Stegostoma tigrinum: one gene and its partners. The protein of the gene in region 1 purifies or fractionates together with the protein of each later gene. This does not show direct contact. Links are inferred from orthologs where the notes say so. Each region holds a gene or a part of one and is shown on either strand. Other genes may lie near its edges.

The links.
Region 2: the proteins of partitioning defective 3 homolog (region 1) and prkci purify together in Homo sapiens (affinity purification with western blotting; 5 studies listed by BioGRID and IntAct, with this or other methods). This does not show direct contact. The link is inferred for Stegostoma tigrinum from reciprocal best matches to the Homo sapiens genes PARD3 and PRKCI.
Region 3: the proteins of partitioning defective 3 homolog (region 1) and pard6b purify together in Homo sapiens (affinity purification with mass spectrometry; 5 studies listed by BioGRID and IntAct, counting the BioPlex papers as one, with this or other methods). This does not show direct contact. The link is inferred for Stegostoma tigrinum from reciprocal best matches to the Homo sapiens genes PARD3 and PARD6B.
Region 4: the proteins of partitioning defective 3 homolog (region 1) and rassf8b purify together in Homo sapiens (affinity purification with mass spectrometry; 4 studies listed by BioGRID and IntAct, counting the BioPlex papers as one, with this or other methods). This does not show direct contact. The link is inferred for Stegostoma tigrinum from reciprocal best matches to the Homo sapiens genes PARD3 and RASSF8.

Annotation. Positions count from the first base shown.
Region 1 is NC_081355.1:130,248,432-130,256,050, reverse strand, and holds the start of partitioning defective 3 homolog, read left to right. Parts: upstream 1-4,599; 5' UTR 4,600-5,217; coding exon 5,218-5,337; intron 5,338-7,619. UniProt on the Homo sapiens protein: Adapter protein involved in asymmetrical cell division and cell polarization processes. Seems to play a central role in the formation of epithelial tight junctions. Targets the phosphatase PTEN to cell junctions.
Region 2 is NC_081367.1:60,927,976-60,935,191, forward strand, and holds the start of prkci (protein kinase C iota type), read left to right. Parts: upstream 1-4,206; 5' UTR 4,207-4,280; coding exon 4,281-4,396; intron 4,397-7,216.
Region 3 is NC_081372.1:40,635,024-40,642,706, reverse strand, and holds the start of pard6b (partitioning defective 6 homolog beta), read right to left. Parts: upstream 3,024-7,683; 5' UTR 2,837-3,023; coding exon 2,774-2,836; intron 1-2,773. UniProt on the Homo sapiens protein: Adapter protein involved in asymmetrical cell division and cell polarization processes. Probably involved in formation of epithelial tight junctions.
Region 4 is NC_081378.1:48,632,248-48,639,940, forward strand, and holds the start of rassf8b (ras association domain-containing protein 8b), read left to right. Parts: upstream 1-4,671; 5' UTR 4,672-4,864; intron 4,865-7,693.

The DNA of each region.
Region 1 (7,619 bases):
TTGGGAAGGTGGCACCAGACCCTAAAAACCATGCTGAGGGCTTATTGCCAGGATTAGCCAAATTATTGCAATAAACGGACCCATTTATAATGTTTGGCATTAGAGATGGCCCAAATAAATCACCTTAGTTTACTCCATTTGAGTTGACATTCAGACACAAAGTAAGACGGCCTTTAAAATTAATTAAGAAAAATAAATAAATTGTTATGTCTTACTTATAAAGTGGATATCAGGGATTTTCTTTCATTTTTAACCACACTTTTAACAAATTATAAAGGCGAGGCGAGCTTCTCTGGGTGTTTCAGAAGGGAACCCTCTAGTACGACTAGTATTTTGGTTTTATCCTATTAGACGGGTTTGACTTACCCCTTCTCTGGAACAAGTGCATCAACCACGCTGTCTGCTTCCATGTGTAAATTTTTATTCCTGGAACACGGGCTTTGCTGGCAGGGCAGTATTTTATCGTCAGTCCCCAGTTGCCCTCAGAAGATGGTGAGCTGCCTTCTTGAACTGCAGCAGTCTACCTGCTGTGGGTTAACCCACAATGCTCTTCAAAAGGGAATTCCAGGATTTTGACCCAACAACAGTGCAGGAATGGTGATATATTACCAAGTCAGGATGATGAGTGGTTTGGAGAGGAACTTGCAACTGGTGTTGCTCCCATGTATGTATTGCCCTTGTCCTTCTAGATGGAAATGGGTGTGGGTCTGTAAGATGCTTCTGAGGATCTTTGGTGAATTTCGGCAGTGCATCTTGTAGCTAGTACATACTGCTGCTACTGAGTGTCAGTGGTGGAGGGTGTGAATGTTTGTGCATTTGGTGCCAATCAAGTGGGCTGCTTTGTCCTGGTTGGTGCCAAGCTTCTACACTGTTGTTGCAGCAGGCAAGTGGAGAGTATTCCATCACACATCTGACTTAGAGTCATAGAGTCATAGGGATGTACAGCATGGAAACAGATCCTTTGGTCCGACTTGTCCATGCCAACCAGTTATTCTAAACAAATCTAGTCCCATTTGGCAACATTTGGCCCCTATCCCTCTAAACCCTTCCCATTCTTATGCCCATCCATATGCCTTTTAAATGTTGTAATTGTACCAGCCTCCACCACTTCCTCTGGCAGCTCCTTCCATACACATGCCACCCTCTGTTTGAAAACGTTGCCCCATAGGCCCTTCCCCTTTGACCTTAAACCTATGCCCTATAGTCCTGGACTGCCCAACCCCAGAGAAAAGACTTTGTCTATTCACTCTATCCAGTCCATCATGGTTTTATAAACCTCAGCCTCTGATGCTCCAGTGAAAATACCTCCAGCCTATTTAGCCTCTCCCTTTAGCTCAAACCTCCGACCCTGGCAATATCTTTGTAAATCTTTCCTGAACCCTTTCAGGTTTCACACCATCTTTCCTAAAGCAGGGAGACCAGAATCGCACTCGGTATTCCAAAACTAGCCTAACCAATGTCCTGTACATGATCTCCTAACTCCGGTACTCAATGCACTACCCAATAGTATACCAAATGCCTTCTTACTCACTGCAGTATTCCTAGCCTTTGACCTGCTCTCCTAGCCACTGTGTTTGTGCAATTAGTCCAGTTAAGTTTCTGGTCAATGATAATCCCCAGGATGTTGAAAGTGGCGGATTCAATTATGGTAACACCATTGAATGTTAAGTGGTGATGGTTAGATTGTCTCTTATTTGGTCATTGCCTGGCATCTGTGTGGCATTAGTGTTAATTGCCACTTGTCACCCCAAACCTGGATATTTTCCAGATCTTGCTGCATTTCATTATGGACTGCTTCAGCATCTGAGGAGTCGTGAATGATGCTGAACATTGTGCAATCCCTACATCTGACCTTATATTGGAGGGACAGTCATTGATGAAGCAGCTGAAGATGATTGGGCCTAGGGCACTACCCTGAGGAACTCCTAAAGAGATGTGCTGGAGTGGAAATGACTGACCTCCTACAACATCATCTGCCAGGTATGATTCCAACCAGCAGAGCCTTTGCATGGCCTCACACTCCCCGATACCCATTGATTCCAGTTTTTCTAAGACTCCTTGATGGCACACTTGGTTGAATGCAGTCTCGATGTCAAGGGCTCTCACTCCCACCTCACCACTGGAATTCATCTCTTTTGCCCATGTTTGAACTAAGGTTGTAATGAGGTCAGTGGCTGAGTGGCCCTGGCAGAACCCAAACTGGACATCACTGAGCAGGTTATTGCTGAGCAGGTGCTGCTTGACGATAGCACTGTTGATGACACCTTCCATCACTTTACTGATGATTGAGAATAGACTGAATAGTATTTGGTTGGGTTGGATTTGGCCAGCTTGTTGTGCAGAGGACACACCTTTGCAATTTTCCAAATTTGAGTAGAAGCCAGTGTTAGAACTGTACTGGAAGAGCTTGGCCAGAGGAGTGGCATTTTCTGGAGTACTTGTCTTCAGTATTATTGCTTGAGAGTTGTCAGGGCCCATAGGCTTTGCAGTACCCAGAGCCTCCAACCATTTCTAGATATTATGTGGAGTGAATCAAATTGGCTGAAGAATGGTATCTGAGATGCTGGAATCATAGGAGAAGGCCATGATGAATCATCCACACAACACTTCTGGCTGAAGATAGTTAAAATTGCGCAGACCATCATAGAAGCCAACCTTCCATCCATGGACTCTATTTACATGACTCATTGCCGTGGAAAGGCTGTCAACATCAAAGACCCATTGCACCCCGGTAATGACCTCTTACAACCTCTTCCGTCAGGCAGAAGATACAGAAGCTTGAACACATGCACCATTATTAGACTGATGAATAGATGCCTTAGGCTCAAATAATGCTGATCTTGCTAACACTGATCTCACTTAGTGTACAACCTGTGCGAGGTAACCTGTATGCCTCTGTCTTCAGCTGTATGTTTTGTACTAATGTGTTGGGTTCTTCAATAATTGAGAATGGGATATTTGATTGATTGATTGATTTATCATGTGTACCTGAGTACAGTGAAAAGCTTTGTTTACGAGTCATACAGGCTGATCATCGTAAGCAAGGATGCACAGATCAAAGATTGTAAAAACTTAGACAGACGACACTTTCCTATTTATATTCTAAAGATTTTTGGATTTTTAAAATGTTCATTTGTCAGTTTTGTCTTCATCCCCCTCTGGACTTCTCAACCTGACGGCATCTTACTCTCTGTGTTTTTTGTCTTTGCTTACCCCACCCATGTCTCTCCTAACAATGTACCTTGATTGCAACTGTTCCAGCTCTTCTTTAAAAATAAGACCATTGTTTTGTCTGCTACTGTTTAATGCCAATTTACCTGGGGCAGATCCGTTCTCACCATACAGAATTTGGCTCTATTCCAATTAAGCATTTAGACTCTAAATGACATATTGTTTCTTTCAGTTGCCAATTTAATCTTATGATACAATGATCACTGTTTCCTACACATTCCCTGACTGACACTTGATCCAACTCATTCCCTTAATCGAGGTTCCACAATGCCCTCTGAGCTCATTGGACCAGGAACATACAAATCAAGGAAATTTCCATTAATGCATTTCCAAAATGCTTCTCCATCTCTGCTCTTTATACTGTTAGTATACCTCAAAATGTAGCTGGATTATTAAAGCCCCTATTCTCAATATTCTTCAGTTTGTTTGTATCTCTGTGTGTAATTTAGCTGCAAATTTATTCCTCTGTAACTTCTGAACTCTAGAAAACACCCAGTATTACACCTTTATTGTTTCTTTGCTCTGAGTAGATTCAGAAGTTCTGAGGAAGGTTCACTCAATCTGAAATATTAAACTCTGATTTCTCTCTATGACTGTCCGCAGATGTTGCCAAACCTGCAGAGCTTTTCTATCAATTTCTGTTTTTGTTTCTAATTTACCGCATCTGCAGTTCATTTGGTTTTTGCTTAGTTCAATGCTATCTCTCTGAATCTTTTGCAGACCTTGTTTCTTCTTTCTAATGTTACATGCTATTTCCCAACCTTTGCCAATCAGCTAAGCATCCCATGAGGACATTGGTCCTAGCTTTGTTATGGTGCAACCTGTCAGCCTGTACAGGTCCCATCTTCCCATGAACGATCCCCAGAGATGTAGGAATCCCTCATTTCTGCACCATCTCTCCAACCACACATTTTTCTGTGCTTTTGCTTCTGTACCATCTAATTCTTGGCATTGGAGGTAGTCTGGAGACTAATTCTTTGAGGTCCTGAATGATAGTCTCCATGCCAGCCCACAAAGGTCTTCCTATAAGACCTCACCCCTCTTTCTACCTGTGCCCACTAATTTGGATCATGACCTCTGCTTGTTCACTTTTCCCCTTCCAAGTGCCCTGTAGCCACACAATATATCACGGCCTCTGGCATTGGGGAGACAACACACCTTTCTGGATTCATAACTGCAGAAACAGCTATTTCCTTTCATGTATATTCCGTCACTACTGCACTTGTCATGCCAAGGAACCATCTCTCTTCCATGAAAGAGCGAATTGTCTTCTATGCACTCAATAGCTGATTGTCTTCCGGTCACCCAATCCAGCTCTGCCTGCACACTCTCAGTGCCAGCTCTCGAATTCACGGAACAGACGGCAAGGGAGAGAGGACCAGTCGATACAGTGTGGAGCTGGAGGCACTCAGCAGGTCAAGCAGTTTCAGGGATCCTTCATCAGATCATGTGTGCAGTTCTTGCTATCTCCAAGGGAAGGAAGACATTGGGAGCGTGGTAGTGAATATATGCAGTATTTAGTGATGAAGTTTGGCCCTCAGCGCAACACCGTAATGATTTATCTTCACCTCAGTCTGTGCGGCTAGGAACGCGCTTTGCACGTCTGTGGTTGAAGCTGAACGCTGGATTTGCAACGTTGCGGTGCCGTGAGCGGCCAGGGCGGGGAGACACTGGGTGCTCCAGGTTTTGCTTCCCTGATTTTGGGCTGTTCCTCCGGCAAGGCTGTGCTCGGCTCCACTCCCACAAACAGGAACAGGTGGCGGCAGGAAGAGGCGCCGTGTACAACCCGAGCGGGGCCGCTCGCACCACCATGAAACAGAGCATTTCATCGCACGGGGCGGAATAAAGGAAAGATACAACCTTGCAGCCGGCAGCGGTGAGAGAGGAAAGGAAACAGATTAACCGCCAACCCTTTCTTTATTTTGGGTTGAGCCGACGAGACCCTTGTGCAACAGAAGCTGCGCGCTGTTGTTACCGAGACGAGTGATGAAAGTGACCGTCTGCTTCGCGAGGACCAGGGTGGTTGTTCCTTGTGGAAATGGGGCCATCACGGTGCACAGCCTGATCCAGCAGGCGGTGACCAGGTACCGCCGTGCCATCGCCAAGGTGAGTGAGGGCAAAATAAGGGGAGCGGAGTGGCGGCGGACACAATGTATCCAGAGACCAGCCAGGAGCAACATGGCGCTTCCTGATATTCACATTGGATACAAGCTTTCACCTCCCTCTGTGCTTAACGAAGGGAGGGTGAGTGCAGAAAGAGGAGAGGAAACGAAAACAAAATACAAAAGCCGCGACCATAAAGTTAAAGCTTTTCGCACGGCCTCCTCCCCTCCCTTTTCTCCACAAGTTTTGAAATCTTTTTTTTCTTATTATTAAAAAAGTTTTTCGTAACTTTATCCCCCGGCAGATTTGGGTGTATTTTTCTCCTGTCTGTAAATTTATTTTCTTTCCCCTCCCTCGGCGGGGGAGAAAAATACAAACTGGTGTGAGGTGAAATGGAGCGGCCTCGGACTGTGAGAAGAAGGTGACTCAACTCCAGCTCGAGGCTTTCCCAAACACGGAGGCCTCGGACTCCTTTCCTGGGAAGTATTTGACAAGAATTTGGGTTTCATGTTTTCGAACGATCGATTAAATTCCGTAGACGAGTCGCTGATTACTGATGATACCGAAATACGAATAGGAACAGAAGCGTTATTTCCCCCTCTCTCATTTCCAGTCAGTCTTGTCAGTGAGATGATTGCATGAGTAGGATCGGAATTCATTGGCTAATAACGCTGTTTTCGCATCAAGCAACAAAAGAAACGAATTTCTGCTTGAGATGGACACATTGCTCCCCTCTAACTGGTGTCTAATTTAAAGTCATCTCATTGTAGTAAATTAGATTCGTAACTTTAAAATTAACTCTAAACGTTTTCAGACTAGTCTGTTGGGTAATTAAAACAGGGTTTACTTTCTCAGAAAAGTGTTAAAAATAAGAGTTGGAAAGTTTGGCCAATTAGCCAAAGTAGGTAAATGGAAAATATAACTAAACTACATGGACCTTTAATACTGATCAATTGTTGAAGTTAATGTACTGTTAGTGTGAACTATGATTAAAAAGTGCGTTTTTTTTTATTCTTTGCATAGTTAGCACAAGCAAATGAAAGTGTAATTTTCACAAACCTGTCAATTATTTTGAAGAGCTGTGAACAGTTGTGACCTTGAAATTCCTGCCACGTGCATCTTTTAACTCTTGACCAAAAGCATATACATATAAATCTATTTGGTTGAGTTGAATTGTATTCCAACTCTAGTTAAACTGAAAGTGGAGGTTTGTGTTGAATCGGATAATTGGTCGCACAAACTGTATTGCCTACTTTGTGCATGGACTAACTTTTTAATCAATAGTTGAGATGTACCGGAAATGTAAGGTTAGGTATTAGTGGTAGCCTGCTGTAAATGTATTACTTCACAGTGCCACAAAACTACTGGCTAAATATTTAACGTTGTATCAGAGATAATGGGAACTGCAGATGCTGGAGAATTCAAGATAACAAAATGTGGAGCTGGATGAACACAGCAGGCCAAGCAGCATCTCAGGAGATGCTGCTTGGCCTGCTGTGTTCATCCAGCTCCACACTTTGTTATCTTAAATATTTAATGTTCCTTGATTATAATTATTGTGATTTTCTGTATGTTCCTGTGTAGTTAGAATTTGCAAATGTGTATTTACTGTGCAAGAAATATTCGAATAATTGGCTAAATAGTTTGCTTGAGGTATATTTTTGGATTGATTTTTGAAAAAATGTGATGACATATCCTTTGTGTTATAATCCTTGCCACCCAAGCAGTAAGTTTTGTAATGAGTGGACAATTTTTGATGACTTCCCATAAACTTAATTTTAAATGTTATTCATTCACCTTGGTTGCATGTTTAATGTCTAGTTTTCAATTGACCTTGCACTGGATAAAGCCTTAACAAATTCCTGTGGGGGAAAAAAAAATTCTCATCTAAAGCAAGTCATTCATCACCGGAAAAATTGTTGGTTGCTATTTAGGTTAAAGAAAAAGTTTTAATACTGATACAGGTGGGAATGCAGGATTTGATCTGTAAATGCATTAAGAATGAAAACAAGGTATTCATGAATTGAGCGGAATAATGGATCTCATATTTATATGCAGACAGCACTTGAACAGGTCATTGAGGATGTCACAAAACACTTGATGCATGTTGAATTACTTCTCAACTGCAGTCATTCTTAATTTGCAGAGGGGAGTGACAGTTTCTTTGCAGACAGCACAATCTCGAACAGTAATGAGATGAATGTTCAGTTGTTTTGTTTTGAATGATCTTTACTGAAGAAAAGCTGTTGAACAGTTGAGGAAACCTTGCTGTTCTTGTTTGAATA
Region 2 (7,216 bases), on another chromosome or scaffold:
CTACAGGGTTATACTGATGGGCTGATCAAATGTGCTGAACTTTGGACAATGGAATTTAATCCTAGAAAGCATGAGGTAAGGATTTTGCATTTTGGAAGGATGAACAAGGCAAGGGAGTACACACTGAATAGCAGGACTCCAGGAAGTACAAAGAATCAGAGGGACCTTGGTGTGCAGGTCAATAGATCCTTGAAGGCACCAGGACAGCTAGTTAAGATGGTTAAGGAGGCATGTGGGATATTTGCCTCTGTTAACCAAGGCACTGAATACAAGAGCAAAGAAGTTATGATGGGGCTGCATATAACACTAGTTAGACCACAGCTGGATTATTGCATGCAGTTCTGCTCATCACAGTACAGAAGAATGTGATTATACTAGACTGGATGCAGAAGAGATTCAACAAGGATATTACCTGGGCTGGAATGACTCAGTTGTGGAAATAGACTAGAGACGCTGGAATTATTTTTCTTAGAGTAGCGAAGGCTGAGTGAGGAGTTCTGACTGAGATGTACAAAATTCTAAGGGCAAATACAGGGAGTATGAGGAGAAATATTTCCTGTTTATGGAGGGTTCAATAACCAGGAAGCACAGTTTTAATGTAAGGAACAGGAGGTTCAGAAGAAATCTGAGGAAGGTGTTTTTCTCCAGTGTTGCCTGTATTTGTAATTCATTGCCTCAAAGGGTATTAAAGGTCGGAACATTCAGGGAATTTAATAACTATTTCGATGGACACCAAATTGCCATAGCATACAAGGTTACAGGCTAACTGCTGCAAAACGGTACAAGTAGTTGGTTGATGACCAATCCAGACACACTCAGCCAAAGGGCCTCTTTCCACACTGTAAGAATTTTATGACAGGGCTAAGGGTTTGCTTTCTTTCAGAGGCTTGTGTGACTTTTGAATTTTCTCCCATAGGAGGCAGAGGAAGTGGAGAAATTGATTTTTTTTTAAGGCAGAGGTGGTTTGATTCTTGTTAGGCAAGGGAATCAAAGCTTGTTGGGTAGTTGGGAGTATGGAATTTGAAACATAAACAGATCAGGTTTGAACTTATTGAATGGAACAGCATTTGTGAGGTGGAATGGTCCACTTCTGCTCTTATTTCATACTTATCCTGTGTCCAAATTTGAAATAAAATCTCTTCATCCATGACTCTATAGAACATAGAACAGTACAGCACAGAACAGGCCCTTCAGCCCACGATGTTGTGCCGACCATTGATCCTCATGTATGCACCCTCAAATTTCTGTGACCATATGCATGTCCAGCAGTCTCTTAAATGTCCCCAATGACCTTGCTTCCACAACTGCTACTGGGAACGCATTCCATGCTCTTACAACTGTCTGTATAAAGAACCCGCCTCTGACATCCCCTCTACATTTTCCACAAACCAGCTTAAAACTATGACCCCTCGTGTTAGCCGTTTCTGCCCTGGGAAATAGTCTGGCTATCAACTCTGTCTATGCCTCTCATTATCTTGTATACCTCAATTAGGTCCCCTCTCCTCCTCCTTTTCTCCAATGAAAAAAGTTCGAGCTCAGTCAACCTCTCTTCATAAGATAAGCCTTCCAGTCAAGGCAGCATCCTGGTAAACCTCCTCTGAACCCTCTCCAAAGCATCCACATCTTTCCTATAATAGGGCGACCAGAACTGGACGCAGTATTCCAAGTGCAGTCTAACCAAAGTTTTATAGAGCTGCAACAAGATCTCACGACTCTTAAACTCAATCCCCCTGTTAATGCCTCTCCCCTCGTCGGCCTGTCAACGTACTGAGTTAGGAAACACTCCTGAACACACCTTACAAAAACAGCTCCATTCAAATCTTCTGCTGGAAGGAGGTTCCAATCAATATTAGGAAAGTTAAAGTCACCCATTACAACAACCCTATTACATCCACACTTTTCCAAAGTATGACTCTATGATCCTTGTTCTCAGAGACCTATATTGGTTCTGGGATCAGCAATGTCTCAGTTTTAAATTTTACTATTCATTCAGTTTCTTCCAAGATCTTGCCAATTTTTAAAAATATATATTCAGGGACGTGGGTAGGACTAGCCAGCTATTAGTTAGTGGGCATTTATTGTTCATCCTTAATTTCTCAGTAACATTTCAACCACATTGCTGCTGCTGGCCTGGAGTCACATGCAGGCCAGACCAGCAAAGGCAAGCGGGTTTCATTCCCTACAAAACATTAGTGAACCAGGTGGGGTTTTCCTGACAATCAGCCATAGTTTCATAGTCAAAATCAGACTCTTATTTCCAGATTATTATTGAATGCAAATTTCATGTTTGCCATGGTAGGATTCAAACCCAGGACGTGAGAACACTACCTGGGTCTCTGGATTAATAGGCGAGCACTAATACCACTCAACTATTACCTACCCCATAGTTCTATGGTCTATAACCTCTTTCAATCACATTACTGTCTGAGAACCCTACGCTTCTCCAATTCCAATCAATACAGTGTGGAACTAGAGGAACACAGCAGGTCAAGCAGCATCAGAGGAGCAGGAAAGTCGACTTTTTGGGTTTACATCCTCGTGGACCAGGCCTAATGAAGAGTGTAAACCCAAAACATCAACTTTCCTGCTCCTCGGATGCTGCCTGACATGCTGTGCTCTTCCAGCTCCACACTGTATTGACTCTGACTCTACCATCTGCAGTTCTTGCTACCTCCTAGTCGCTTCTCCACTTCTGACTGCTTTCTCATCTCCAGTTTTAATTGTTTCACCATTGGCAGTTGCACTTTTAGCTATCCTGTCTCTAAACTCTGGAGATCCCTCCCTACAGCACACTGCCTCTCTACCTCTTTTCAGATGTGTCTTAAAAGCTATCTCAATGAACAGTATAGTTCATTGTCAGTCCTTGTTTAATAACACATCTGTGGAGTGCCTTAGGATGTTTTAACTACTTTAAAGAGCTATATAAATACTAGTTGTTGTAACTTTTACTTTCCTGTTGATTATAAAACAAGATGAAACTGGAGGAGGAAAACAAGATTTGGGGAGATTTTGTTTCACGCTGTACACGATTAGAATTTCGAACTCACTGTCGGGGAGGATGATTGAAATAGAAACCCTTATGGGTTTAAAAAACTTTTTGGAGTACTTGAAGTGCTGTAATCTACAAGACTACAGCCTAAGAGCCGGAAAATTGGACTAGGCTGTATCGCTGGATCAGCTGCCATGACGCTGCCGTGAATTTACAAGTTTTAATTCGGCAAAGAGGCGTTGAAAAGAATACTGATGTTTAGGCAATCTGTAGGTCACCTTCTGGTAGGCGATACATAATTCGCCTTACTGAATGTAAAAACAAATAATGAGCGGAACACACCTACAATGAGTAATCGACACCTTTGTCTACACCAAACAGGTCTTTTTTTTCCTCTCTCAGTCCGACTAATACGTTTATTTCCGGCTTTGTTCGAATAAAGTTTCACTGTATTCGTTACTTTTGTTGTTGAACTTGATAGGAAAATCTAAAGAGGTAAAACATGAACAATTTAATAATAATAACTTGCATTTATAAAACATCTCTATGTCGCAAAAATGTCCTAAGAAGCCCCAAATCATGTCAAAGTGAATCTACATTTGAAAATAGAACTGACTTGTCGATATGCAGAAGGATATTTAGAAAGTAGGAACTGACTTCTGCAAACAAAAATTGATTAAAATACAAGTGGATGTGCCAACAAGTGAAAGTTTCGGTTCTACACCCTATCTCATAGAAACCTGACAAGGCAGGTGAATCACCAAATTCTAAGGGTCACCGGACCCGAAACGTTTCTCTTCACGGATGATGCCAGACCTACTAACCCTTTCCAGCAACTTCTGTTTTTGTTTCTGATTTACAGGATCCACAGTTGTTTCGGTTTTGAATAACCAAATCGCTCCAAATATATTGGACTACAAATCCCAGAGTTCCCCGTTACGGTTGCCCCTTACGACGGGGGCGGGTCCGGAGACCAATCCAAAGTGAAAATGCAGGGTAGATGATAAGGAAATCATACAACCTAAAATAATTAACACCGAAATGCAAAAATTTAGATGAAAATTGACAGAAATTTTATAACATTTATAATATTAATGCTGCCAAAGAGATGGTTGTGAAGAGCGCCTTGCGTATTGGGTCATGTAATCCTTTCGCCCCCGCCGACCTTTCCTGTATGGTGTGGCGGTCGGTGGTGCGCGCGCAGCGGGTGTCTGTTGGTTGGGCCGGACGAGCTCGAGCGAACGGCCGGTGGGGCGCGGGGAGGATTTGAGGTGAACGGCCGGACAGTCATATGAGAGCGGCTATTCTGCGGAGCTCCGACAGGGACATGCCCACAAGTAGGGACAGTATGATGTCCTACACAGCAGAGAATCACCACCAGGTCCGGATGAAAGCCTATTACAAAGGGTAAGGGCGAGAAACGCGGCCGGGCAGAGACCCCCCCCCCCCCACCCCCGCCCGCCAAACCTCGGGTAGGGATTTCTCCTCCTCCTCCCCTCGCGGACAGGAGACTTTGTCTTTTGGTTGGGTCGGGGTGTGGGAGAAAGAGGCTGTTGGTGGTGGAGAGTTGGGGTGTTGCCTGGGAGGTGAAGGGGATAGGATCTGAGAGTGGGAATAGCGTTTGGGATGCTGGTGCATAGGGCCAAGTAAGAGAGGGAGAAGCTGAGAATTTGGGTGGGAGGTGAAGGGGAGCTGGGAAGTTGTGGGTGGGCGAGGCGATCTGGCGCGTTGTTTGAGGGAAGGTGGATTGGGTAAATTTAGTGGGAAATTGAAAATGGGGGAATTGTAAGATTGAGGAGGGGAAGGGGAGCTATAGGATCCAGGAGGATGAAGGGTCCTTTTTTTTGTCAGGGGGAGAGTGGAATCTCTGAAACGTAGATGCAGGACTATGGCCAGTGGAGGGTAGAGGGATTATTGGAAGGAGAACCATTGTGGATCATAGTAAAGGGGCATAAAGATCCAAAAAGAGAAAGAAATCTGACTGTTTGAAAGTCTTCACATTCGCTCACCAACTTCTATTTGCCGAAAGTGCCATGCAAAGATGAAATGCCTTTTTTGGGCTAGTCGTTGTATATTACAGGAAATGTGGCAGCATTGTGGTTTAATCGAGTCATAGAGGTGTACAGCACAGAAACAGACCTTTCAATACAACTTGTGAATGTCGACCAGATATCCTAAATTAACTTAGTCCCATTTGCCAGCAGCACATATCCTTCAAAACCTTTCCTATTCATTAACCCAGCTAGGTACTTTTTAAGTGTTGTAATTGTACCAGCCTCCTCCACTAATTCTGGCAGCTCATTCCATACACACACTACCCGCTGTGTGAAAAAGTTGTCCCTTGGACCCTTTTTAAATCTTTTATCTCGCTCCTTAAACCTATGCAGCCTAGTTTTGGATTCCCCAGGCTAGGATAGAAGACCTTGACCATTTACCTTCACTATTTTATAAATCCCTAAGGTCACCCCTCAGACCTGACACTCCAGAGAGAATAGCCTGGCCTATTCAGCCTCTCCCTGTAGCTCAAGCTTTCCATCCCTGGCAACATCCTTATAAATCTCTCCTGAGCCCTTTCAAGTTTAATGACATCTTTTATATAACAGGGAGACCAGAATTGAATGTAGTATAACAAAAGCGAGTTAACCAATGTCCTGTACAGTCGCAACGTGACACCCCAACTCCTATACTCAATACACTGATTAATAAAGGCAAGTGTACCAAATGTCGCCTTCGCTATCCTATCTACCTGTGACTCCACCTCCAAGGAATAATGAATGTGTGCGCCAAGGTCTCTTTGTTGGGCATCACGTTCCAGGACTTTCCCATTAGGCGTATAATTCCTGTCCTAATTTGCCCTACTAAAATGTTACACCTCACATTTATCTAGATAAAACTCCATTTGCCACTCTTTGGCTCACTGGCCCATCTGATCAAGGTCCTGTTGTACTCTGAGGTAACCTTCAAGTGTTACCAACAAAATGAGATTTAATGAGTGTAGCTTTAAACTTATGCTGTAATTTTCAGTTGTTTATATAGCACCTCATGTCACGACATCTTGTGTTGCTGCAGAGGTGAGACTTAAAAGGAATTGAATACTGGGTCAAAGGAAGTGATATTCTGACTATAGAGTATCTTGTGATATTGTCCAGATTTTACTTACAGATGAATTGAAAGCTGCGTACTTTGTCAAGAATCAAAATCACATTAATTATAACTAGAGCTATTTTGGCATTGCCAAACATAGTTAGAAGTTTTTGATTCACAAATTTTAAAGTAACTGAATTGCATATATATGGTAAAGTGAACCAAAGTGCATTGATTTTAAGGGTGAGGGACAGGATGTTCAGAGGGTCTTTAAGGAGTACTTGTGTCACCCAGAGGGTTTGGGTGTTTTGAAATCAGTGCCTGAAAAGCTGGTAGAGGAAGGAATCATTACAATAATTAAGCATTATTTCAATGAACATTTGAAATAACACAATATACAAGCTTACAGGCCAAGTGTTGGGAAATGAGATTAGAGTTGATATCCATCCTGGTCATCAGGTAGCGATAGTGGGTCACAGGATGTTTCCCTGTGCCTCATACTCTGACTTGATGACTTCACACCATCGATGGAAAAAAAAAATCCATCTCTTCAAATGCTGACTTTGTTTCTTATGTCCCCTCAAACTTGGGTTTTGTCTACAGGCAGAATTTTCAGTTGTCTGAATACTGAAATACTGAGGGTAGTGCTGCAAAACAATTTGCGTGATAAATTAAGAGCATTGAAAAATCATTGCTCAGCATAAAAGTGATTTTTTTTGTGGTGAAGCACTTTTTACTGTTGTAGTGCAATACATACGTGAGCTGAAAACAGACAGCACACTATGTCCACAAATCAGTAGAGCCAGTGATATCCATCAAATATTCATCTACTTTGTATTTGTTCCAGGAGAAGTATCTGATAGGATGTTGAATGCTTTGTGCTAATTATTACAAAACATTAATAACAAGAAAGGAATTTGAATCTTCAGTCTTTGCTGACTTGCATGATCTATTCCGTTTGAGATTTGCTTGTTTTAAAGAGCTCCTGTATTAAAGAAGGGATCGTCAGTCAGAATTCTTGCTGGGTATTGCTGTTTAGTGATTACAAGTGTGCATATTGGATTTAGGTGAGGACAAGATCAGACTTGTGATGGTATGAAAGGCTGGCAGTTCTCTGCTTGCACATGACTGCTTTGTTGAATT
Region 3 (7,683 bases), on another chromosome or scaffold:
TGCACTAACACAATCCAATCTGGAACTTAGAATGCAACTGTTACAGACCATAATTCTACAGTCTATCAAAATTAACATTTTATTTGTTTAGAGATAGTAGGAACTGTCGATGCTGGAGAATCTGAGATAACAAGCTGTAGAGCTGGATGAGCACACTAGGCCAGGCAGCATCAGAGGAGCAGAAAAGCTGACCTTTCAGGTCTGAACCCTTTTTCAGAAATGGGAGAGGAGAAGGCGCTCTGAAATAAATAGAGAGAGGGGAGTCAATGATAGAAGGTGGATAGAGGAGCAGATAGGTGAAGAGAAGATGGACAGGTCAAGGAGGCAGGAATGACGCCAGTAAGGGTGAGTGTAGGTAGGGAGTTGGGATGGGGGTTGGTCAGTGAGGGAGGGAGGAAGGGAGGGAGGGGCGAGTAGGTGGGAGAGAAAGCTGACAGGTCGAGGAGGCGGGGATGAACCAGGTCTTGGGATGAGGTCAGGGTTGGGGAGCTTTTGAAGCTTGTGAAGACCACATTGAGACCATTAGGCTGCAGAGTTCCCAAGCGGAATAGGAGGTGCTTTTTCTCCAGCCTTCGAGTGGCATCATGGAGGAGGCCCAGGATGGGCATGTCGTCCAAGGAGTGGGAGGGGAGCTGAAGTGGTTCGTGGCTGGGAGGTGTTGTTGTTTGTCACAAACTGAGCATAGGTGCTCCACAAAAGCAGTGTCCAAGCCTCTGCTTAGTTTCCCCAATGCAGAGGAGGCCACTTTGGGAACAACGGGTACAATATGCCACATTAGCAGATGTGCAAGTGAACATCTGTTTGATGTGGAAGATTTTCTTGGGGCCTGGGATGGAGGTGAGGGGGTAGGTGTAGGGATAGGTGTAGGGGCAGGTGTGGCAAGTCTTGCGGTTGCAGGGAAAAATGTTAGGGCTGGTGGGGCTAGTGGGGAGTGTGGAGCGGACAAGGGAGTCACACGGAGCAGTCCCTCCAGAAGGCAGATAAGGCTGGGGAGGGAAATATATCCTTGGCAGTGGGTCAGATTGTAGATGGTGGAACAGGCGGAGAATGATGCATTGAATCCAGAGGTTGATGAAGTGATCGTGGTTTGTTTCTACAAAGGTTTTAAAAGAGCAAATACTCCAGTTCACCTATAGACATGACAATATCCTAGATGTTTGAAGTCTGAAAAGGATATCATGTATTTTAAAACTAGGGGAGTTGGAAAAGGCAACGAATTCAATGCATCCAAAATATTATGAACAGAACAGAAGCCAATAAAATAAACTAAAAGTAACACCCTGAATCAGATCACTTAACTGAGAATATACAAGACGTTATCACTTTAATATTTTCTTTTTTTAAAAAAAATTCATTTTGGGATACGTATGTCACTGGGTAGGCTAGCATTTACTGCCCATCACTAATCATCCAGTTGGTAGTTAACCATCAACTATGTTGTTGAGGGTCTGGAGTCACATTTAGATCAAATCAGGGAAGGATGGCAATTTCTTTCCTTACAGGACATTAGCGAACCAGATTGGTTTCTCCAACAAATAACAGAAGCTCATGGTCATTATTACACCACTTCCTTTCTTCAACTAACTCTTGGACCAGCTATCTGACATTTAATCATTAAATTTTCTACATCAGACAATTTTACAATGCTAGAAATCTTCATTGTTCTTCAGAGATAGCAAGAACTGGTGGCTGAGGCAGATGCTGGAGGCAGAGTCAATATAGTCAGGACTGAAGAAGGATCCTAACCCTAAAACATTGATCACTTTTGTCAAGTTGCTTAATAAATTACCAATACATTCAATTTGAAGCAAATATAACATTAGTATATTTACTACCTTCCACTTCAACAGAAACATATGGATTTCTTACACATTCAAGTTGTTTTGTGATTGGGATAAATTGGGAGCCCATCCACTCTGGGCATCAGTAGATAAACATTTAAGTACATAGGAAACATGGTCTAATTAAGGAAGTTGTGATCAAGCCATTTATGCGATGAGAGAGTTTTGGATGTAGTTAAGTCTATTCAGACAGGCAATGATTGCTAATATTACAATAAAATAGCCAAATTGTTTGCACACAAAGTAGGTTTCTGTCAAAAAACCAGTCAAAAATTTTCATTCTGACAACTTAATACACTTAATTCTGTTTATTTTAAATACATTAATTCACATTGAAATAAAACACAAGTTAGTAAGATCTGACAAACAACAAGAAAATTTTTATAAGCCTGTGTGCATCTAGTGCAGATTGCTTTCTTTTTGGGCTGAAACCGATCAACTTACATAGGATCGTCAAATTCCCTTTCCATTTTAACCAGCTTCCAGACAAATCCTTATGGGAACACGAATTTTAGCTACATCGCTAATTGCTTTGTGTTGGCATTTACAAGCCTCTTTACTACGAAATTTCTTACAAAAGCAAGAAGCATTAAAATAACACGCAATGAACTGCACAAAAACTTGTTACCGCCGCCGGCTGTTCTCTGAAAGATCTCGACGCCTTTATTACTTCCTTGAACTGTACTGTCACCTGTTCCAACTCCCAATAAACAAACCGTAGAAAAGAACATAAAATATTGCTCTAAAATCTCCTTTTGGAACAGGCCTGTATCTGACCGTCAGATTGAACCTTGACCTCAGCAGCCTGCTGACAGATCCTATGCCAACATTAGCCGGGGCCGTGGTATTAATTTCCCTACAACTACTGACTGGCAAAGCACGAAGTTCCCTCCGCCTTTCCTCGGACATTGCGCCTCCTTATACACACACACCTTACTCTTCACCTCCACGGTCTCCAGGCTTCTGGACGCCGTCCGGTGATGAGTCTTGATCATTTTCGGAAGAACGTTTGTTGGCCGTTTTCGTGCCAACTGCTCGCCCGATCTTCCAAGGGCAGCAATTTGAATCGGCCCGAGTGCAATGAGGGAGATGGTGGGGGTAAAGTACGTAAAAGATCCGGGACTAATCTCAGACCCTCGCCAAACTCGTTCGAACACTGGTTCCGCCGCCTCCAGCCGGTTAGTAGCGGCTGCGCGTGCCCAGTTCCTCCTCCACCCACCCGCAGCTCAGCCTCGCGCCCCCTCCTAACGACCGGCAAACTCCGACTTCGTTACCAGATGACGTCACTCGCCCCGGAAACCCAGCCTCGGTTTCACCTGTGTGTGTACGCGCACTCAACCCGCTGCATTATTTCGAGCGGACACCCGTTCATTCTATTGTCTGAAGAAGGATCTGGGCCCGAAACATCAGCTTTCCTGCCCCTTTGATGTTGCTTGACTTGCTGTGTTCATCCAGCTCTTACACCTTGTTATCTCAGATTCTTCAGCAGCTGCAGCTCCTACTCTTTAGTTCCCTTGTCCGCCCGGCCTTCGTGCATTTTTAAAAGCGCGCGCCCCCGGCGGTGGTTGACACCATCGCGCGTCCAGGTGTCAGACATGCCTTGAGGAAGCAGGTATCAAGTAGGTGTCTGGGATGACATCCCAAGAGTAACAGCTGAAGCAAAAGTTTTTCAAAGTTCAGTGAACAAGTTTGAAACTTCTGCTATCTGTTCGGCATAATTATCCTAACTTTACTGATAAATGTAAGAAAGCCTAAAATGAAAGACTTAGTCCGCATCATCACCTTAGAAATGAATATTCTCTTTTCAGATGCTATTTAAAGGACCTTTAGTTAATGTTGTGGATTTTATGCTTTGTATTATTTGATTTTCATTCTTCGATCAAATGCTTGCGGCCGAAGCTAATTAAAATCAGTTTCACTAACGATTTTAAAGTTTTCAGAATTTTTCCCCCGTTTTGTTGGTCCTTTCCAGACCCTAGTCGTTCTCAACTGTTAAAACTCAATTTTCCTTCCCGAATGTTCTTCCCTACTCCGTCGCCATCGCACATTGACTTAAGCTCTTGGAGAGGGAAAAAAAATAGTGACTGTCGAGATATAAAAACAGCTAGAGTTCTACAACGGAAGAGTGTAATTAACGTTGATCCCATCAGAAATTGAGATTGGGAAAGTATAAATCCAAGCAAATAGAAGTAGGACCTTTAGAAAGCTATAGCACTATCGATCTGAGTGAGCATAATTTTATTATAGGGAAATGATTTTTGACATTTTATTTGATGATTTCAGAATGTGATAAACAGGATAAATAAAAGAGAACTAGCAGATGTAGTGATAATAAAATGTGAGGCTGGATGAACACAGCAGGCCAAGCAGCATCTCAGGAGCACAAAAGCTGACGTTTCGGGCCTAGACCCTTCATCAGAGCAGGCCAAGCAGCATCTCAGGAGCACAAAAGCTGACGTTTCGGGCCTAGACCCTTCATCAGAGGGTCCTCTGATGAAGGGTCTAGGCCCGAAACGTCAGCTTTTGTGCTCCTGAGATGCTGCTTGGCCTGCTGTGTTCATCCAGCCTTACATTTTATTATCTTGGAATTCTCCAGCATCTGCAGTTCCCATTATCTCTAGCAGATGTAGTGAACTTGAACCAAAAGGTGCTCAGAAAGGTGCCACCTAAAGATGTTATTGCACAAGATAACAGCTTGAGGTGTTGGGATAATATATTAACATGGATTGAGGATTGGTAATTCAACAGGAAATAGAGAGTTGGGATAACAGACCATTTTCTATATGAATCTGTAATTGATACAGTACCACAGGAATCAAACTATCACAAAAATGAGAGTTGGATCCCCAACCAATAATGAAAACGATGCTTTTATCTCCACTCTCTGCCTTCTATAAGTCAGCCAATTGTTTGTCTATGCCAGTACCTTGCCTCTGTCAGGACTCATTTAACAGCAACCTGTGCAGCACACTGTCATAGACCTCCTGGAAATCCAAATACATAATCTGCTGACTCTCCTTCGTCTAACTTGCTTGTTACTCCTCACAGAATTCTAACAGATTTGTCTGGCATGACCTGCCCTTGACAAAGCTGTCCTGACACAGCCCTATTCTACCATGCACTTTCATGTACTCTGCAAACTCATCCTTAATAATTGGACTTAACTAGCCTATGTTTTCTTGTCTTCTGTCTCCCTGCCTTCTTAAACAGAGGTATTACATTAGTCTTTTCCCAGTCCCGTGGGTGCTCCCTGACTCCACTGATGGCTGGAAGATCAGCACTAATGCCTCCACAATCTCCTCAGCTATCCTCTTCAGAACCCTGGGGTGTAGTCCATCTGGTCTGGATGATTTATCCACTTTCAGACCTTTTAGCTTCCCCAGCACCTTCTCTTTAATGATGCTTACCTCTGCCCCCTGATTCTCTTGAGTCCACTCTGAAATAACTACAGACAGGCAGATATCCCATCACAAAGTCACCCATTATTTACACATGGAAAGTCCTTGACGGTGGTACAGCCTCAAAAGAGTCAACTCCCAGAGTGTTGGGATATCTGACACTTCTGTTTTTACCTGTCAGCAAGGGATCCCTGCTTGAACCAGATTATCAGCCCCAATCAGGGAACTCATATTCTTTGAAGTCCACCTGGCTGACCTCATTGCAATCATTACACATTCGTGCCACTCTTTTACCTCTTACATATCTGAAAATACTTTTGTAGTCTTAATTTGTTACTAACTAGCTTGGCCTCATATTTCATCTTCTCCCCTCTTATTGTGCTTTTAGTTATTGCTGGTTTTAAAAGGTTTCCCAACCCTCTGGCTGCTCACTAATCTTCACCACATCATTTTGTTTTTGCTTTTATGCTGTCTGTGACATCCCTTGTCAGCCACAGTTGCCTTGTTTCTTCTTCCTTAGGATGAATTTCTGCTGTGACTCCCACATCACCCCTAAAAACTCCTGCTGTTGCTGCCCCACTGCCTGCTCTCCTGGGCTCCCCTTCCAACTAACTCTGGCCAGCTTCCGGAGCATGTCTTTGTTGTTATCTTTACTCGATTATAATACCATTACATCTGATTCCAGTTTCTCTCCCTCAAACTGCAGAGTGAATTCTATCGTATTACGATCACTGCCTCATGGGGTTTCTTCACCTTTAGCTGCCTAATCAAGTGTGCCTCATTATACATCACCAAATCTATAGTTGCCTGTTCCCTACTGGGGTCTGCTACAAGCTGCATCAAAGGACCATATTGTAGACATTCTACAAATTCCTTTCCTTGGGATCTGCTACCAACCTGCTTTTCCCAGTCTACGTGCATTTTGGAGTACCCATCATTTTTGTAAAAGTGCCTTTCCTAATGTGTCCTTTCTATCTGCTGATTTATTTTCTTCCCCAAATCCCGACTACTGCTGGAGTCATGTGATTTTCTCCTTTGCCATTCCTCAATACAGATTACATGTCTTGCTCTATATCACTTCTTGCTATTGATTTAATTTCATTTATTACTAACAAGACTGCTCAGCCCCCTGTGCCCATCTGCCTGTTCTTTCCATAGGACATGTATCTTTGAATATTTAGTTCCTAGCCCTGTTCCTCTTGCAGCCACATCTCTGTGATCCCCACAACATTGTACCTGTCAATTTCAAACTGTGCAAAAGCTTATTTACCTTGTTTCATATGCTGCATGCATTTTCGTACAACACCCTCAGTCCTGTGTTAATTCCACTCCATCGCTGCCACTTCTCATAGTTGTCCCCATATCTGCTATACCTGAAGTTGGATTCCTGACACTTTCCATCCTCTTTGTCTTATTATTTATTCTGGAAACTTTAATAACCTCTGCTGAGTCCTACCCTCAGCCTTAAACTTTTTCCATAATTTTCTACATAATTGCAATTGAACCCCTTCCCCCCCATTGCTATTTAGTTTAAAGTCATAGTTATGTGATTCACCAAGACTGTGCCCAGCATGATTCAGGTGGAGCCTGTCCCATCTGAACAGTTCCCTCATTGCCCAGGACTGGTGCCAATGTTCAATAAATTTGAACCCATTTCTCCGATACCAGTCTTTGAACCACACGTTTACCTCTTTAATCTTGTTGCACCTGTATCAGTTAGCCTGTGGCTCATGTAGTAATCTGGAGATTATCATCTTTTTGGTTCTGAGTTTTAATTTGTCCCCGAGCTGCTCTATGCCCTCTTTCTACCAATTAACATTGGTACCTATGTGGACCGTGCCAACTGGATCATTCCACTACCACTCCAAGCCTCTTTGCAGCTCAGCTGAGATATCCTGAACCTGGGAACCTGGCAGGCAACTCAACCTTCAGGTCCCTGGATCCTGGCCATAGAGAACAGTGTCTATTCTCCTAACTATACTATCCCTGATTACAATTACTTTTCTCTTTTTTTCTCTCCTCTTGAATGTCTCTCTGTTCAATGGTACTATGGTCAGTTTGTTCATCCTCCCTTTCTCATCCATACAGGAAGTAAAAATGTCAAACATGTCAGACAAGGTCTCGGTTAAATCCCCTTCAGCACTACCCTCTGCACATTCCTCTACTTGCCTCACTCATAGTCACACCCTCTTGTCCTTGACCACTGACCAAATTTGAGGGGTGTGACTGCTCCTGAAACAGAGCATCCAGGCAACTTTTCACCCTCCCTGATGTGATGCAGTCTTCAAACCTCAGACTCCAGCTCATCAGATCTGCACTGGAGTTCCTGAAGCAATCAACACTTGCTACGCATGTGGTCACTACGAACCATAATGAGGTCCACACCGTCCCACATAATGCAGGTATAACACATAGCCTGGCCGTGCATCTCTATTTTAGTTATT
Region 4 (7,693 bases), on another chromosome or scaffold:
AATGGACTACCCGTGTACCACAGAGAGCTTGTTAGACACAGCCTTGTCTAAAAATAATACCAGTACACGGCAGCTGTATGTGTCACTTAGAATTAGCCCTGTCCTCCAGAATGAGTTGCATTGTTAAATCGAAGTCAGCACATTTACTGACAGCTTGTGATTTTGTAGGAATGGGCGCAGTGCCTGTTAAATATTTAGTTTTCATTATATCTAAAACGTCCTCTTAATCTTACATTGCATTTGTTTCATGTCTGTGATGCTGTTTAATATAAGAAATTACATATATATACTGAAATAAACCTTGCTTCTGTGAATGTGCTGACTGCTTGTCAGAAAATATCCATGGCTATGTTATTATGTTGGGTTCAGTGATTTCTATAAATCCATAAGCTTTCATTGTTGGCACTGTGAGACAAAGGAGCCTTGGGGTTGGCGATAGTGGATGAGAGAGTGCAAATATAGCAGTTATGTTATCAGACCGTAATTCACAGGGCTTTGGGCTCGGAAGTTTTGAGTAAATCTCAACACAGTATTGGAGGAATGCATTTTCAATCGAGTTATCTTTTCAGACTGGATTAAAAATCTTGCCACAATAATGGTGACCAAGAAACTATAGAACAATAGTACAGCATCCATCTCATTCACAGATTTCCTTTAGTGTAGGATAGAAATGTGATATCAAGAAGCATTCAAGAGCATATTGAATGATTATTCAGACAAAAATAATATGTAAGGGTATGGGGGGGGGTGGATTTAAAGCAGGAGATTAGGAGATTGGCATGAGGAAATGAAGCTGGTTTGAAGAGTTGATGCAAGCAGAATGGGCCAAATGGTGTCTGTCTGCATTGTAACACTTTTCAGTGACCCTTACCCAGTCTGGCCTGTACATAATTCCAGACCCATAATAATGTGGTTGGCTTTTAAACTGCCCTCCCCTTTAAAATAGCCTGGCAAGCCAAAGTTAGATTCATCATCATCTGACAATAAGGCGGTGAATGCTGGTCCCATCAGTGACATCTGTTTCCGTGAATGAGTTGGTGGGGGGGCATGGTGTGCTTGGACACACCATGCCCCCCCAGAGTCAGAGGGTGCAGTGAAGACCAAAGCTCCCAATTCGTAATTGTATTAACATACAGTAAAAAGTAAAATAAAGTTGCTGCGCTCCCAATGGGCCCTGGAGCTGCAGCTTCATTAGAAAGAGATTGTGGTGGTTTAACCTGAGAATCACCACTCCTCAGGAAAGGGGTGAGGTTGAGAAGGAAGGCCCTTCATGTTAAAGGTAAAGTCGCTATAGTCCCAGGGGGCGTTAGGGCTGCTGTCTCATTGGACATGGAGTGAGAGACAACTGGCAGTAAGTTTAACCTAAAGGCCACCTTAGGCTAAGGTTAACCTTAAGCTCAGCTGATGTGAACAAGATAGGATGCTCATTGCAAACTTTTTGATAACCTCAGCCTGAGCGGGAATTAGGCCCATGTTATTGGTGTTACTCTGCATTGCGAATCAGCTGTCCGACAACTGAGCTAAATAACCCTTTAACATCCATTGGATATGAGGACATCTTCTCTGATTGTAAACATTGTGAGGGCTCACAAAAGTTTAAAGACTGGTATAAGGATGGCGTGGCCTGGAAAGATGGATTACACTGGTCCTGCGAATCATCTGCAAATCCTTCCAATGCTCCATGTGTGTCTCCCGAGGAAGCGTGCGGAGAAGTGAATAAACACCAACCAAGGATGCAAAGAGTCGCAAATGTTTGGGACTGGTACAAGGAATAAGGTTAAAGGTCACGTGGTTTCTTTCATGTGATAGGTGCGCAAAAACAGAGACTGGTGGCTTTGATTACCCGTCCCATTGTTGCTGTGTTGTTGCTTGGACGGCGTTTATGTTCTGTGCTTCATTCCTTCCTGTGGGAGTATGGGAGTGATAGTTCATTAAGTAGTGAGCTGATTCCTGTTCGCTTTCACAATGGAGGGAGTTGAGTGAGTGAAAAGTTGTACCTTGCAGGGGTTTTCTTGCTGTTTCATAAGGTTGCCACTCACACATTACTGTACCACGGCTTGACAGAATCCCAGATTCCAGAGTGTATAAAAAACAGCTCATCTCCAGCTTTGTGCTGACATCTGTATGTGACCTTCCTGTAGCTGGTTCCCATCGTACAGATCTCCGCTCCGTGGTTTCTGTACCTCATAATCTAAATTATATCCAGTTACAACGTTCTAGGAAAAGCCTTTTAGTACTTTTCCATTGGCCTTGCTTTGTGAACGTTGAAACTCTGTTGTCTGCATCACCTTGCTTGTGTAAAGACTCTGGCAACCTCCTGGTCATGTGCTAGTTGTGTATTTGCACCTTGCCTGCTTATGGCCAGGGGAAGCCCAAGTACAAATTGATCATTATAGATCATTGTCTCAGAGATAATGGGAACTGCGGATGCTGGAGAATTCCAAGATAATAAAATGTGAGGCTGGATGAACACAGCAGGCCAAGCAGCATCTCAGGAGCACAAAAGCTGACGTTTCGGGCCTAGACCCTTCATCAGAGAGGGGGATGGGGAGAGGGTTCTGGAATAAATAGGGAGAGAGGGGGAGGCGGACCGAAGATGGAGAGTAAAGAAGATAGGTGGAGAGAGTGTAGGTGGGGAGGTAGGGAGGGGATAGGTCAGTCCAGGGAAGACGGACAGGTCAAGGAGGTGGGATGAGGTTAGTAGGTAGCTGGGGGTGCGGCTTGGGGTGGGAGGAAGGGATGGGTGAGAGGAAGAGCCGGTTAGGGAGGCAGAGACAGGTTGGACTGATTTTGGGATGCAGTGGGTGGGGGGGAAGAGCTGGGCTGGTTGTGTGGTGCAGTGGGGGGAGGGGACGAACTAGGCTGGTTTAGGGATGCAGTAGGGGAAGGGGAGATTTTGAAACTGGTGAAGTCCACATTGATACCATATGGCTGCAGGGTTCCCAGGCGGAATATGAGTTGCTGTTCCTGCAACCTTCAGGTGGCATCTTTGTGGCAGTGCAGGAGGCCCATGATGGACACGTCATCTAGAGAATGGGAGGGGGAGTGGAAATGGTTTGCAACTGGGAGGTGCAGTTGTTTGTTGCGAACTGAGCGGAGGTGTTCTGCAAAGCGGTCCCCAAGCCTCTGCTTGGTTTCCCCAATGTAGGACCGCTTTGCAGAACACCTCCGCTCAGTTCGCAACAAACAACTGCACCTCCCAGTTGCAAACCATTTCCACTCCCCCTCCCATTCTCTAGATGACATGTCCATCATGGGCCTCCTGCACTGCCACAAAGATGCCACCTGAAGGTTGCAGGAACAGCAACTCATATTCCGCCTGGGAACCCTGCAGCCATATGGTATCAATGTGGACTTCACCAGTTTCAAAATCTCCCCTTCCCCTACTGCATCCCTAAACCAGCCCAGTTCGTCCCCTCCCCCCACTGCACCACACAACCAGCCCAGCTCTTCCCCCCCACCCACTGCATCCCAAAATCAGTCCAACCTGTCTCTGCCTCCCTAACCGGCTCTTCCTCTCACCCATCCCTTCCTCCCACCCCAAGCCGCACCCCCAGCTACCTACTAACCTCATCCCACCTCCTTGACCTGTCCGTCTTCCCTGGACTGACCTATCCCCTCCCTACCTCCCCACCTATACTCTCTCCACCTATCTTCTTTACTCTCCATCTTCGGTCCGCCTCCCCCTCTCTCCCTATTTATTCCAGTTCCCTCTCCCCATCCCCCTCTCTGATGAAGGGTCTAGGCCCGAAACGTCAGCTTTTGTGCTCCTGAGATGCTGCTTGGCCTGCTGTGTTCATCCAGCCTCACATTTTATTATCATAGATCATTGTCTAACGGCTTTGTTTCTCAGAACGACAATTCAGCAATCCTTTGTTATTCTCCCATACATTACACTGCTGTTGGTTTGCAAATGCTATTTCCAGGCAATCAATGTGAGGGAAGAATTTGTGATTTACTGTTTGATGAACATGTCAATGGAAAAACTTGTTGGAATTGTGTCCAAAGATGCTTGGCAGAAATTTGAGCAAAAAAATGTTGTTTTGTATCCCAAGCTAACTCGAATGGTGTTTCCTCCCTTCCTTCTCTCTCTCCCCCGTGCCGCCCTCCCAACCACTTACGTCCTGCAGTGGCTTGTTTGTTTGTGTGCGTTCTCCTATATTCCTGACTGACTACCCCATTTGTACTCAGAGTAACAGATATGGCTAACAATTCAGCAGAGAGTGAGAGGGAGAGAAACTTCTCAATTTAAGAAATCCACATGCCAGACTTTGATTCCCAAGAACATCGCTGAACAAGTTGTCCCCCTGGGGTGTGGGGATGGTGGGGGAGGGAGTGCAGTTGTGACTTTGAAGCCATTCCTTTAGACTCCTGTCAATCAGCAGAGTCCAGGCATTTGAAGCTCAAGAAGCAAACTCTGACCCAGCTCCCACTACAACTAGACTCTGTAGACCTCTCACCGGTGTTTGACTGCAGAAGGGAGATGTAATTCAAAACCCATGATGACCGAAGAGGGTTAACAATGCATTATGTCGACATTTTACTGCTGTAATAGTACTCTGGCATTCTGCACAAACTTCAGGGAGGAAGTTAGTGCAACATGACACCAAAATACATACCACCGTAGCAACCCAGGCAGCAGAGAGAGCCAATATAAGGGCCATGTCAGTTTATTGTATAATGAATCGTGTCAGGACAGGACATGTTGAACACATTTGGAGAGGAGACAAACACAGAAAGACAAACTTTAACCTTCAGAGTGCAATTCATTTCAAAACAGTTTCCAGGATTTGCTGAAGGACTGCTGAAGATGAATGTTAACTCATGGCCTGCTGAGTGAAGTGGAGTCACTCTGAATCCACCGGTTAGTGCTGTGGGACAGATGGTGTGTGTGTGTGTGTGTGTGTGTGTGTGTGTGTGTGTGTGTGTGTGTGTGTGTGTGTGTATGTGTGTGTGTGTGTGTGTGTGTGTGTGTGTGTGTGTGTGTGTCATTCACTCCCAATTAGAGAAAATTTCCTTGTGGAGCCGGTGAGGGACATTAGAGAGCCAATGCTGTTTGTGTCAGTGTTTTGTGGACTGCAACATTCCCTTCTCCATGAGACACTTCCTGCCACCGTTTTGAGTCAGCACAGAGTTATTTTGTGGCAGGAATGGTTTCTCAACCAGAATTACCCAGAGCACTGAAGGCCGTTTGAATGGCCATGCTGAATAGATGTTTCCTTGGGAACTGAGGGCAAGCGAGTTCCTTTGAAATATAGGAGCAGGAGCTGGCCATTTGGCCCTTCAAGCCTGCTCTGTCATTCAATATGATCATAACTGGTCATCCCAGTCAGCCCCCTCTTCCCACTTTCTCCCTGTACGCTTTGATCTCTTTAGCCCTAAGAACTATATCTAACTCTTCTTGAAAACATTCAATGTTTTGGCCTCTGTCACCTTTTGTGAAAGAGAATTCCACAAGACTCTGGGTGAAGAAGTTTCTCCTCATCTCAATCCTAAACTGATTACCCTGTATTCTTAGACTGTGACTCCTGGTTCTGGTCTGCCCAGTCATTAGGAGCATCATTCCCAATTTACACTGTCTAGTCCTGTTAGAATATAATCCTGACTGATCCAGTCTCTCTTTATACTTCAGTCCTGCCAACCCAGGAATCAGTCTGGTAGACCTTTGCTGCACTCCTTCCATAGCCAGGACATCCTTCCTCAGATTAAGGAGACCAAAACTACACACAATACTCCAGCTGTGGTCTCACCAAGAACCTGTACAGTTGCAACAAGACTTCCCTGCTCCTGAGCTCGAATCCTCTCATTACAAAGGCTAACGTTCCATTGTCTTCCCCACTGCCTGCTGCACCTGTATGCATATTTTCAGTGACAAGTGTACTCTCTTTCCCAATTTATCACCATTCAGATAATAACCTACCTTTCTATTTTTGTTACTAAAGTAAAGTAACCTCACGTTTATCTACAGTATGCATCACCTGCCTTGCATTTTCCTGCTCGTCCAACCTTAGCCAAATAACACTGAAACTTGTCTGCATCCTGTCCCACCCAGCTTTGTGAGTGAGATGGTTGAGATTGAGAACTGTGACTGTCTCTATAGGCCAGAGTGTTGGTAACTAGAGGGCACAGGCTTAGGATAAATAGATAAAATTGACATAAGAAGCAGAGGGAAATTGAAAGTTTTTTTGTACATGGACATAGTTGTGGAAAGGAATGTACAGCTTCGAAAGGGCAGTGAAAGCAGATGCGGCCATTCAAAATGAAATTGATTCAGATTAAAAGAGGGAACGTTTTTGAGAGCTGAGGGGAAGGTGCAAGGCAATGGACTAATTGAATAGTTCCTTCAAAGAGTCAGCACAAGCACAGAACGCCTTTCGTTGAGGATGGAATTGAAATATTTCATATTGCTAACAGGAAGAAAGGGTCAAAGCTCAAAGTCTGGGCTGAATGGCCTCCTGTCCTCCAATAATTCCATAAATTGGGCTAGCAAGGAAATGCAGTTTCTGAATTTATCAATGTCCTTTCTTCCAATATCAGAGATGCTCTGTAATATCTTGTATGTCAGCTGTAGCTTGGGGGTACCACTCTTGTCTCATTTCAAAGACTGCGGGTCTGAACACAAAAATTTAGGCAGCTGCTTCAATGTAGTATGAACAAGAGTTCAACTGTTGAAGACGCTATTTCTCAGATGAGATGTAGGGGCAAGGCCCGGTCTGTCTCTTTCTTGAGCACATGTGAAAGACTCTGTGACACCACATTTAAAAATGGCAGGACAAAATGGCAAGCCCGCATATACAGCTATGTCCTAATAAGCTGTTTATTTAGTGATGGAAGGTTGAAAATTGGTCTGGTTGTTGTTAGAACTCACTGCCCTTCTTCAAATCAATGCAAAGGCTCTTTCACATCCCCTTAAAAATTGTAGTTGGGACAGCACGGTAGTTCAATGGTTAGTACTGCTGCCTCACAATGCCATGGACCTGGGCTCGATTCCACCCTCGGGTGACTGCCTGTGTGGAGATTGCACATTCTTCCCGAATCTGTGTGGTTTTCCTATGGGTGCTCCAGTTTCCTACCACAGTCCAAAGATTTGTAGGTTAGGTGGATTGGCCATGGGAAATGCATGTTTATAGGGTAGCATGGTGAGTCTAGTTGGGATGCTTTTCAAAGGTTTATTCTAAATTCAGGCTGAATGGCCTGCTTCCACGCTGTAGGGATTCAATGTACACTACAAGGCCAAGCCAGTGCCTGTGACAGAGCAGCACCCACTCAGCAGTATCCTTGAATGCCAGTCAATGGTGTGCTCTGGGACTTGATTTTGACTCAACTTTGCTGCTACTGAGACATGTTCTTAACATCATTGAGTTGTTGTTGAGATATGCTTGAGTCTACATTTGTAAATCCAATCTGCTTAGGGGAATAAAAAGTCTACAAAACAAACTTGTCATATTTGTCTAATGTCAATACTGGTTGCCATTCTAATCCATCGATGACTAAAGACTTGGGATATGTGTATCTTCAAGATGTGTTGTGCTTTGGAGATTTGTAAGACATTAGCACAGTATAAATTCACTCACCCACTCATCAAGTCAGATGTTAAAACCTAAACAAGTGAGGGATGGTTGAAAGTGCTCAATAAACATGTTTTGGGAATGGAGAGCGTTGGCTTTTGATGTAGGTGTAAGGGAAAGCCAGG